Linked DNA regions of Astyanax mexicanus. The protein of the gene in region 1 interacts with the protein of each later gene in a biochemical or structural test. Links are inferred from orthologs where the notes say so. Each region holds a gene or a part of one and is shown in the gene's direction. Other genes may lie near its edges. The genes, in order: lef1, mitfa and nlk2.

Region 1 (3,753 bases):
AGCAGAGTAGGGAGGGGGGCGGGTGGGGGGGAACAGATGAAAGAGCCGCCCTGAAGATCAAAGGGAGCCGCGGCCCAGCCTTCAAGCCCCGCCCACTGCTTTATAAAGCCCACCTCTGTCGGAGCACGCTCACTCTCACGCAACCAGCAGACACTGAACGAACACACACACACAGAGTCTGAGTCACTGAGGTTTATTTAGTAGTTTATCGCGTTCAGTGTATGATTCTCTCTCTCCGCAGTTTTACGATGCTGAGTGTCCTGCATTAAAAACGCGTGTCGGGTTTTCTTCTTTTTCTTTATGTGCCCTGGCCTCTTTCACTCAGCCTAAACATCCCTTCCTTTATTCACTCTTTCCTTCAGCACTGAAACCCAGCCTGTAAAAACTCTACCAACACTCAGCTTCTGTGAAAGAATGAGTGATTATGGTTTCACTAAGATATCCCACTTTTCTGAAAACCAAGCAGAACAGGAGAAATGTAAAGCTATAGGATCTAGTTTTGCAAGTAATTCAAAGTAGGGTTATACAGGTCTAATTATATATACCTATAATATATACCTTACGTGCTAGACGTGATGTTTAACACTATATATATATATATATATATATATATATATTAAATGAAACTGTAGAGCAATAGTTTCTAAAGTTATTTATAAAATATATATATATATATATATATATATATATATATATATATATATATATATACATACATTACATTATATATAATATAAATATATTTGTAAATATTTTATCAGTTTTAATCAATTATTTACATGCTGCTTTGATTTATACATATACATCCTTAGATCACTTTATTTATTTATTTATTTTTTACCATTTTAGGCAAAAGCTTTGATTTAACCTGGACTAACTAATTGTCATTATTGTTGCCCTAGAGCTTAAATGTTTTTAAAATACATTTCAAATCCAGCTTCATACCTGTACCACTGATTTACTGCTGTAACGGGCAACAAAATGTGCCATAAGAGTCCTGTCTATTTCTGCGATTCAATTTATTTATTTGAATAAAATTCTAATGTGGAATTTGAGTGAGTAATCATAACAATTTAATCGTTACAATTGTTTCTAAGCAAATATATTATTTAAATTAATAATATTAACATAAATATAAATATTAAAATATACATTTAATTTATTAAATATTTTTGGTGCGTCAATTGTACGCACACACAATACGAGAAACGTTTCGAATATCTGATTTTGGAGATTTTCTATCATTAAAAACAACTTTTAGAAAACTTTTAAAAAAAATTTAGGGGCTCGTTTGTGTGCATTTATGTGTTTGTGTGTCTGTGTGTATATGCACACTTTTAATTTTAACACCCTAAACCCCCCTCCAAATACTGTTTTTTTTTTGTTTTTTTTGCTGTCCTGCCATTTGCTGAGAGATGGATACCCCTTCACCCCCTCTTCCTCCTCCTCCTCCTCTTCCTCCTCAGGAGTGTCAATCGCTGCGGTGTCAATCAGCTCGGCGGCTCGCCTTTCATCTCTCTCCCTACAGTCAGTGTGGGAGAGGAAAGGAGGAGAGGGAGGAGAGAGAGAGAGAGAGCAAAGCTACATTACACACACTCTCTCTCTCTTTCTCTCTCACACACACATTCACACACTCTCTCAGTCAGTCAGGCAGGCAGTCAGAGGGTCTGCAGCTCGCGAGGAGCGTCGAGGCTCCGCTTTGGACGTTCTGACGCTTCGGCGCAACGACTTTTTTTAAAACACTTTGTTCGAGTTTTTTGGGCAGAAAATCTTCGCTTTTCTTCGCATGGAGCTTTTCTGAGACTGAAGCGCAACTAGAAACAAAGTTACAGATTTTTTGTTCACAGTTTTTCACAGAGTTTTTGCGGCTTGTGTCAGTGTTTTTGTTTGTTGTTGTGCGGTTTTGGCGTTCAATCAGTGCGATTAATCGAATTGATTGATTGAGTGGGTGTTTGTTTTTTTCTGTCTGAGGAGGAAATATACACACGTCGGGAGCTGTGCTGGCTGTGTGTTAGTAGCCTGGAGAAGAAAGAAGTGTGTGTGAGTGTGAGACAGAGTGTGTGAAAAGTCTGAACTCTTTGAAGTTCTTTTTATTTCTTAAAAAAAAAAAAAAACAGAGAGAGAGAGCGAGATTGAGACATTGTATCTCAATATTTCCTCCTCAAACTCAGGGCTTTGTCCCACACACACATTTTGATCACACACACAAACACACACACACACACCTTGGGTTCTCCTCCTGTTGCTGCTCCCCGCACGCGCTTCCTTCCCACGTGAAGTTTTCACACAAGTTTATTCTGTGATTTTTTTATTATTTTTTCTGAGGGGATTTTTTTTTGGGGGGGACGTTAGCGTGTTATCATGCCCCAGCTAGCTGGAGGTGGAGGTGGCGGCGGAGGTGGAGATCCAGAGCTTTGCGCCACAGATGAAATGATTCCCTTCAAGGACGAAGGAGACCCGCAGAAAGAGCAGATCTTTGCAGAGATCAGCCACTCGGAGGAGGAAGGAGATTTAGCCGAGATCAAATCTTCTCTGGTTAACGAAACGGAGGACAGTCCCAACAGCACCGGCCACGATGTGAGTAACTAACAAACTACCTGCTGGAGGAAGGGGGAAAGTGGGGGCTAAAATGACTCAATATTGTTAAAAACCACCAAGACTCCCTTAATTCGTTCTCACAGCCAGTGCAATACACCAATCCTGCAATACTACACAGAACATGTTCAAAATAAATGCTTATTTGGCTTGAAACTACAGTGAAGTTGTAGGTAGACCCTTTAAACAGTGTCTCCATCATAAACAAGAACTGTTTAACCAGTGAAATGGCAATTTAAGTACTTAAATTACCTACAAAAAACTGAATGAATATTTTTTTTTATATTTTGCTCTTATACAATCACTCAAGAGTTATGTTTCAAAGAAAATGATCAAAATATATGATAATTTTGCTTTAAACAACAGTAAACCCCTTTTTGTTATGAGCAAAAAAAAATTAAGTGTTATTTAACCAGGGCAATTGCCATTTAAGTACTTAAAGTACCTGGAAAAAACTGTGAATGAAAATGCTTTCCCATCAGTAGCTTCAACTCAGAATCTGAGTTTTATATTTTTGATATTTTGCTGTTATAAACTCACTCGATTTATCTAATTTATTCACACAGCCAGTACACTAAACAGAAAATGTTTAACATAAATGCTTATTTGGTTTGAAACAGCAGTGAAGCCTGTTTTGTATGAGCAGAACCTTTAAACTGTGTCTTCATTATAAACTAGTACTGTTTAACCATGGAAATTGCCATTTAAGTATTTAAATATCCTGGGAAAAAAATACAGCCACTCAATCTGTTTACACAGCCAGTGCACTATATCACTACTTCAAGACTACGCAAAAAAAAAAAAAAAATCAAAATAAATGCATATTTGGCTTGAAACAACAGTGGAGCCCTTAACCATTGAAATTGCAGTTTAAATACCTGATAAATCTGTGACTGAGGAACCTGTGAATAAAAAATGCTCAGCTGTAGCTTAAACTAAATTTTACATTAATGTTTCTCTTTTGTTATTTTATAACCACTCAAGAGTTCTCTAATCCATTCATACACTCCCTACACTTCACCATTAGATGTAGAACATTTTCAGTATAAGCTAAACGATTTAAATGACTTGAAATAACAGTAAACCCTGTTTACAGCTAGTGCTGTTTAAAACCATTTAAACCCTTTCTGGAAAACCAGAAAGAAGCTGAATTTTTCA
Region 2 (3,753 bases), on another chromosome or scaffold:
CCCTTTATGTTTTAAATGACAAAAATATGTATTTATAAATAATATAAATCTCTGCCCTGTTCCACTTCTGTGGTCACATTTCCCTGTGTTTGTTTACCTGTGCCTCATGCCTGTCATTTCCCCTAGTGCTCTGTCTGTTTTCATATGTAGCTCCACCCCTGTGTTCATCCGTGTCTTTACCTCTACTGTTGTCACCTGTGTTAATTTGTAGCTCCTCCCCTCATTAATAGGTCCCCAAGTGTTACTTGTCCCTTTCCGCCTTGTGTGTGTATTTAAGCTCCTGTGTGTTCAGTGTTAGTTTGTCGGTTCTTGTGCGTGTATACATCTGTCTCGGCTGCGTTTTTTGAATTCTGTTTGTGATTCAGTTTGTTGTACAAGTTCCTGTTTGTTTTATTGTTTGATTGTTTGTTATTTTCATAAAAGATTACTTGCGTGTGTGTTTCCACTCTCCTCGTCCATCCTTTCACACAGCTTGACATTAAAACATTAAAAAGGTCTCTATTTTCACATGTATTCTGGTTGTATAAGTGGGGGTATTGTTTTGAAGGCTATATATGTATAGCATGTGAAATAAATTTTTGTTACAATTTTAATCAGTATATTATAATTGTCTGGAGGTTAAAATAGCCAAGCATAAAAGTAAATACTTTATAGTAAATTTGAAGGTAGGGTTAATGGATGTTTTGTTGAATGTCAGATGAATGTTGGTGACGCATCTACAGTATAATGGACCATCTAAACTCCATCTATCCATTTACTCGTCCTGCTTCTTCGTCAGCAGCAGAACTTTTCAGAACTTCTCAGTGAAGTAAATCGTATGATTAGCGACAGGTTGAAGGAGTTTTAAAGCTCATGAGAAGAGTTTAAAGGGTTGTGTTTGGAGGAGTGTGTGTTTGGAGGAGTGTGTGTGTTTGGAGGAGTGTGTGTTTGGAGGAGTGTGTGTTGTTTGTGGTGTGTATGAGTTCGTCTCCTCTCTCTCCAGCATTTCAGAATTTACTCTGCCTCGTTTTTGAAGGCACAGTGGCGGCGATTGTCTCCTCGATGCTCAGAACAAACAATGTTTTATGCCGGGCGAGCGGAACTAAAGATGAAACAGTAGTTAGCCTAAAGCCAGTTTCAGTTTAGAGACTAGCTACCCATCAGTTAAAAGGGGCTTTTGTGAATTGGGGATGGTGACGTCAAATGAACTCTATAAAAGCATAAAGTCTTCATTTTAGGGGAAAAATCTCAGTATGAGGGCAAATAGATCTCCTCCCCTTCCTTAAATATCCTCAGATTGAGCTCGACCTGCTGAGGAGCTCCACTGGCGCTCATTTGCGATTTGACTCGTTAGCTCATTAGCCCTTAGCTCGTTAGCTTGTTAGCTTATTTTCTCGCTTGGCCATCGTAAAGGGTTCAACCTGACGAAGGGAATATTTATCGGCGTTTATCAACGTTTATTGAGGTTTATGAACTGATTCATTGCACAAGACAACATGTTGGAGATGCTTGAGTACAGCCATTACCAGGTAAGACGTGATTTGACAGGAATTGACTTTACATAGAATTTGATTGGCCTTAAAAATTGAGTAAAAATGATTACAGCTCATTTTTAAAATCATTCAGTAATCCAAGTTTAAATAAAGGTTTGATTGATTGAGGGTGTTTAACCCAAAATTTGGGTCACTAAACTTTTTCCTACTTGTTTTTTTTACTCATTTATTCATATTTTAATTTTAAACTTTATATAATGTTTCCTAGCACTTATATGTCCAATACAATGAGGCATAGACAATGTGGGTCATAAATAAATCTACGTATATGTCTGGGAATATGTAAAGAAATACACTGGAATTACAGTAAAATTAAGTTAATTAGACCTAAAACTGAAAGTCAATGCTTTTAAAGCAACTGCGTTTTTTTTATTCTAGTCTTGATAATTGACTTTAATTGACATTGTGATGTTTTTGTGCTGGTGTTTGTTTTGTTTTTAAGTTGTTTGTATTGTTATTGATCGTAAATATATAGTATATATATTTATAGTTTATAGTGCAATGAATTTAGTACTTGCTGCACTTGTAGTGTACTTGTTAATGTATTTCTTATGGAATAGGCTAATTAGCTGTTATATTATATGCTAATATTGCATAAACACTTTAAATTTACATTTTTAAACCAATCGAATGTATGTCTACCAATGTCACCCAAAATATATGCTAAATATATGTCTCAATCCTACAGAAATGTACTGAATTTGCTCTGAATTTGTTCACAATCCTCCGTCCAGGTACAGACTCACCTGGAGAACCCCACTAAGTACCACCTCCAGCAGGCCCAGAGGCACCAGGTGAAGCATTACCTGTCCAGCACCCTGGGGGCCAAACTCAGCCCACAGGCCAGCAGTGGGCCGTGCCCGAGCCAGCCCCCGGAGCACGGCATGCCCCCCGGCCCAGGAGCCAGCGCCCCGAACAGCCCTATGGCCCTGCTCACCCTCACCTCCAACTGCGAGAAAGAGGTACGTACAGTATATATGTTTAAAATAGAAATATATGCGTTTATGAGGAATCTAGAACATGCATTAATGTCAATTTTATTATTTGCATGATTTTACTGGTTTAACTGTTTCTAACTCAAGCAATGAGAAAAATTAAGAGGCAACTTCAATTTCTGAATCAGTTTCTCTGATTTTGCTATTTATAGGTTTATGTTTGACTAAAATGAACATTGTTGTTTTATTCTATAAACTACAGACAACATTTCTCCCAAATTACAAATCAAAATAATGACTAAAAAAAGACACAGAAACACAGAGAAATCTGTAACTTTTAAAAGTAGAAGTCTTTTCTTTAGATAAATTACAGATAAAACCTTCAAAAGACTCTTGGAAACTGGAGAAAAAACTGCTACAGGAAGACGTCTGGCTGACCCACATGGAAACAGCATCTTAAGCCTTTAGCTCAGATTAACATGATTAAGGACTGGGGGAAGAATATGTTTCTCTGATTTTGCTATTTATAGGTTTATGTTTGAATAAAATGAACATTGTTGTTTTGTTCTATAAACTAGAGAGCTAGAGTTCTATAAACAGAGCTTTCAGACCTCAAATAATGCAAAGAAAACAAGTTCATATTCATAAAGTTTTAAGAGTTCAGAAATCAATATTTGGTGGAATAACCCTGGTTGGTTTTTAATCACAGTTTTTTTTTTCATGCATCTTGGCATCATGTTCTCCTCCACCAGTCTTACACACTGCTTTTGGATAACTTTATGCTGCTTTACTCCTGGTGCAAAAATTCAATCAGTTCTATTTACTTTTACTTTTATACTTTAAGTAGTTTTGGAATTAGAGAAATTTTACTACACTTTTACTCAAAGAGTAAAAAAAAAAAGCTTGATTTGATACTTAAACCATATTATCTGTACTTGTACCTACAGAGTAATTAATAGAGTTCCTTTTTTATATCTGATTAAATGTAATTAAAGTGTATTTTGTGTTTTTGTTTTCTGTTCTCTTTTGTTTTTGGTGCTGCTGCTGCTGCAGATGGACGATGTAATTGAAGATATTATCAGCCTGGAGTCGAGTTATAATGATGATATACTCGGACTCATGGATACAGGACTACAGATGGCGAATACAGTAAGAAGAATAAACTTTCTTGTTCATTTCCAATAATTCAATAAAATAAATTCAACACATAATTCATTGTAATTGTCTAATTGCTGAAATATGTCTGTGAATTAGTCACATCAAAATATGATGTTGGTATAAAACTA
Region 3 (3,753 bases), on another chromosome or scaffold:
CTGTGGTAAAATCCCCTATACTCTCAGTTTTAGGAATGCAAAGAGTGTGACTTAAGCTAGTAAATTATGCCTAAAAAAGATGGCAGCTCCCTTCACTGATCTAATTTTCCAACATCCCCACCTAGTAAGTGATGAGAGTTTTACTATTATATAAAGTTTACTTTTTATGAATACATTTTAGTCTCATTATTGAGGTTTATTTTTTATTATTTATTTTTTTTTCTGTATTTTTAGTTTGGATTTTAGTCAGCAGTCAATTCCATAAAGCTAGAAGTATTCTAGAAGTGGCTGTTAAAATGTTTTCTGATTTTTAAATCAATATTTTTAGAATTCAGGATTTAGGATTGAACTGCTTGACTGTATGATAAAATATCCTCTTAAACCATTGCTTATTTTTAAATGTCTAATGTTTATGTATTTCCTATAAAAAAAAACTTGAAAATATGAGTTAGGCGATTTTTTTACGATTACTTTAGGAAGGTGCTGGATGAGAAAGTTCACCTGACCCCAAACCCAAACTTTACCGCCGCCTGTACCTTTACCCCGGCGGCTGCACGCCTGGGGCAGTAACCTGCCGGCGGATGGTGGCAGTCATTCCCAGCCCAGAGAGGCCGTTCAGCGGCGGGCTGAATAACTGCTCAATTTAATTATTTTATTATTTGCCTCCGCTTGATCTGCAGCGGGCAGAGCGGAGCTCCAGCTCGGCCATTTGGGTTGGTTTGGCCCGTCCGCTCCCCCGGCGCTGGCCTGTGTTGTGCCGATTTGTGCTACCCTGTCAAAACGTGCTTCGACAGCGAAGCTCTATTTATAGGTAGAGCTGCCTAGGTAAAACAAACAGTATGGAAAAGAAAAATACGTTCTGGTTTCCGTTTAAAACGTTTAGAAGCACCATATCTTACATACTCCCAGCAGAAGTATAGCTGGATTTTATATGGCCAAAATAAGTGCATCAGGGAAATATACGCTCAAAAAAAAAAAAAAAAAAAACGAAACTAAGCTTTTTTATGTTTGTTTTTAATTTGCTTTAATTTTATTTTAACCTCAAGGAAATAGTTACAGTAAGCTTATATTATTTTATGCAAGCGATGAAAAGTATAGGTTATTTTTATTAATGATTTTTATCATAAAAAATCCACATTAAAAAACCTTTTTCAAACATGTGAGTCGGCGCATGCGCACGGCCTCTAAGCAGCAGATTTTGACGGGTAGTGCAACTTGACAGAACACCGGCTCTCTCTTGCCGTAATGGCGTCCGTTTCACAGGCAACAGGCCCCACTTTGTTTTGCTGCTGGGGTCGCTCGCCTGTTTCCGCCCCCTTCCGCCCATTGGCTGCAAGCCCGCATTAGAGGCGAGAGCGGCGCGCTGTGATTGGTTGAGGGTGGCTGGGTCGCGACGCGGTTGGTCAGAATGGACGTCGGTCACGGGCGTCAGTCATAAGGGGAGGGGGGGAGTCGACGGTTGGTCTGAAGAAGCTCAGGCTCGGGCGCGTGTTGCCTTAACGTCCAGGCGGCAGCAGCAGCAGCGGGGTCCGGCTGTGGCTGCGCGATTCCTCCGCGGTGCGCGGAGCTGTGGATCTGTTTTCCTGGAGCGGATTTATGCCAGGGTGTCTGGAAGGAACAGCAGTGTAGGGTTAGCTGCCTCACGCCGGAGGAGTCGATGGAGAAAATAAGTTGACTGGCTCCGGAAGAATTTGTGTTCTTCGCTCCGGGGAGGAGAAGGGGTGATTCGGCTTGTTTCGTCGACGCGATGGGGGCTTGGGGACCGGAGGGGCTTCGGGGGCTTCGATTTTGACGTTTGGGAAAAGGAGAAGCAGCGAGATTTACAGCTACAGCTGTTCAGGAGTACCTGTCGTATCCATCCACCCTGCCAGCCAGCCAGCCTCTCCTAGCTCTAACCCAGAAGCAGGAATAGCTGCATATATGGAGGGGGTTTGGTCCACTTTCTGCCCCGAAACAGAGTGATCTCAGCCGCCTAGCGAGCACCAGAGCTCCGTGCTGGTTGTGGAGGTGCTGGCCTTGGGCGAGAATCCAGTGCTAACTTCTTCACTGACTCCAAAAACACTGCATGCAGCCTCCGGCCGTGGAAGCAGCCTCGGCTCCGGACCAGCCAACATGGCCAATGTGAAGAAGTCTAAAAGATGAAGGTTGCATTCCCCACTTAACCCACCACATTCAGTTTCAACCTTCTCACTCTTAAACAGGAGATAAAAGGAGGGAAACAAGGGCCTCAGGTTGTTTGGAGAGTGGAGAGCTTTCTTACCTCCAACATGAGGGAGATTTAAGGCCATACAGGATCTCTGGACTGAGGGGGGAGTGGGATTTTTGTTAGTCACATCATCATCATCACCATCATCATCAACATTTATTTTCTTTCATTCTTCTTTCTCTTTCATTTCCTTGCTTTTTTTAGCTGTTCAGGCTTTTTCTGAATGTGCAGTTGTGATTGTGGTCTGATTGTGGGAAATTTGTAGTGCCTGCCTGGCCATAAGAGAGCAAAGCGCATTTCCCAGAAGTAGGTCAGATCAAATGGAAGATAGCTAGCTTAGCTGAAGCATGGAGTTGACTTTATGAGAGCTGAGAGAGAGGGAAAGAGAGAGAGAGACAGAGCTGGTGCACTCATGTTAAAGCCACTCAAATCTAGTCTTGTCACTCAACATCTTTTCACACTTGTCACACTTACTTTGCTCTACTCCAAGCATTTTTGTTTGGATATGTCCATCCATTGGATAGATAGCAGGCCAATGATCTAGGCTAGGCCTCTTCCATCTCTTCGCCTGTTTGATCTTTCAGGAGACCCCATTTTCGCTCTTGTCCCCTTTCTCTTTAGTTTTGTTTTTCTCTTCCTTTCTTTTCGCTTTCCCTCTCTTCCTCTGGCTGTTGAGTGAATGGCTCTTTGCGGGACGACGGCGACCAATGCCGCAAAAATGATGGCTGCGTACAGTGGCGGCGCCTCGGCCGTGGCGGCCCATCACCCTCACCACCACCACCAACTGCCACACCTTCCGCCTCCTCACCTGCACCATCACCACCACCCGGGCCAGCACCACCTGCAGCACCCTGGCTCGGCTGCGGCCGTGCACCCTGTGCAACAGCAGCACGCCTCGGCCGCGGCTGCGGCGGCTGCAGTCATGCTGAACCCGAGCCAGCAACAGCCGTACTTCCCTTCGCCTGCTCCCGGACAAGCCCCTGGCCCGGCGGCGGCTGCAGCCCCAGCTCAGGTCCAGGCGGCGGCCGCTGCGGCAGTCAAGGCGCATCATCACCACCATCAGCATGCTCACCACTTGCAGCAGCAACTGGACATCGAGCCGGACAGGCCCATTGGATACGGAGCCTTCGGTGTGGTCTGGTGAGTGGCGGCCTGTTTTGCTGAAGCAGGTTCTTTAGCTTCAATCTCCTGAACTCTGTGGCAGGGGTGTCAGGCTTGAGTCTTGGAGGGCTGCAGCTCTGCAGAGTTTAGGCCTCATGTTTTGAGGCCTCCGTTGAGGCCACCACTATAATAACTACTTGGGCATAGTTTCCATGTAGTTCTAAAATAACCAACATTAATAAAACTATCTCAAATAAAGTTATTTGAAAGTCTTCTTTCCGCAATTTTGTTTAAGAAACATTTACTTTTGGTTCCTTTTGGTTTTGGTGGTCAAACTAGACTTTGGGGACAAGTAGACTGTTCTCACATTGCTCCATTGCTGTGTTGTAACCATTGAAAACCATCAAGACTTCTGTGAGAATCACTGCTATAGGATGTGTTAGTGA

Evidence for each region.
Region 2: the proteins of lef1 (region 1) and mitfa form a complex in vitro, tested with the Homo sapiens proteins (2 studies listed by BioGRID). The link is inferred for Astyanax mexicanus from reciprocal best matches to the Homo sapiens genes LEF1 and MITF.
Region 3: of the proteins of lef1 (region 1) and nlk2, one has a biochemical effect on the other in vitro, tested with the Homo sapiens proteins (4 studies listed by BioGRID). The link is inferred for Astyanax mexicanus from reciprocal best matches to the Homo sapiens genes LEF1 and NLK.

What each region holds. Positions count from the first base shown.
Region 1 is NC_064414.1:45,612,242-45,615,994, reverse strand, and holds the start of lef1 (lymphoid enhancer-binding factor 1), read left to right. Parts: upstream 1-1,544; 5' UTR 1,545-2,361; coding exon 2,362-2,577; intron 2,578-3,753. UniProt on the Homo sapiens protein: Transcription factor that binds DNA in a sequence-specific manner. Participates in the Wnt signaling pathway. Activates transcription of target genes in the presence of CTNNB1 and EP300.
Region 2 is NC_064412.1:2,748,750-2,752,502, reverse strand, and holds the start of mitfa (melanocyte inducing transcription factor a), read left to right. Parts: upstream 1-1,246; 5' UTR 1,247-1,475; coding exon 1,476-1,508; intron 1,509-2,266; coding exon 2,267-2,494; intron 2,495-3,520; coding exon 3,521-3,616; intron 3,617-3,753. UniProt on the Homo sapiens protein: Transcription factor that acts as a master regulator of melanocyte survival and differentiation as well as melanosome biogenesis.
Region 3 is NC_064425.1:29,109,368-29,113,120, reverse strand, and holds the start of nlk2 (serine/threonine-protein kinase NLK), read left to right. Parts: upstream 1-1,420; 5' UTR 1,421-2,885; coding exon 2,886-3,346; intron 3,347-3,753. UniProt on the Homo sapiens protein: Serine/threonine-protein kinase that regulates a number of transcription factors with key roles in cell fate determination. Positive effector of the non-canonical Wnt signaling pathway, acting downstream of WNT5A, MAP3K7/TAK1 and HIPK2.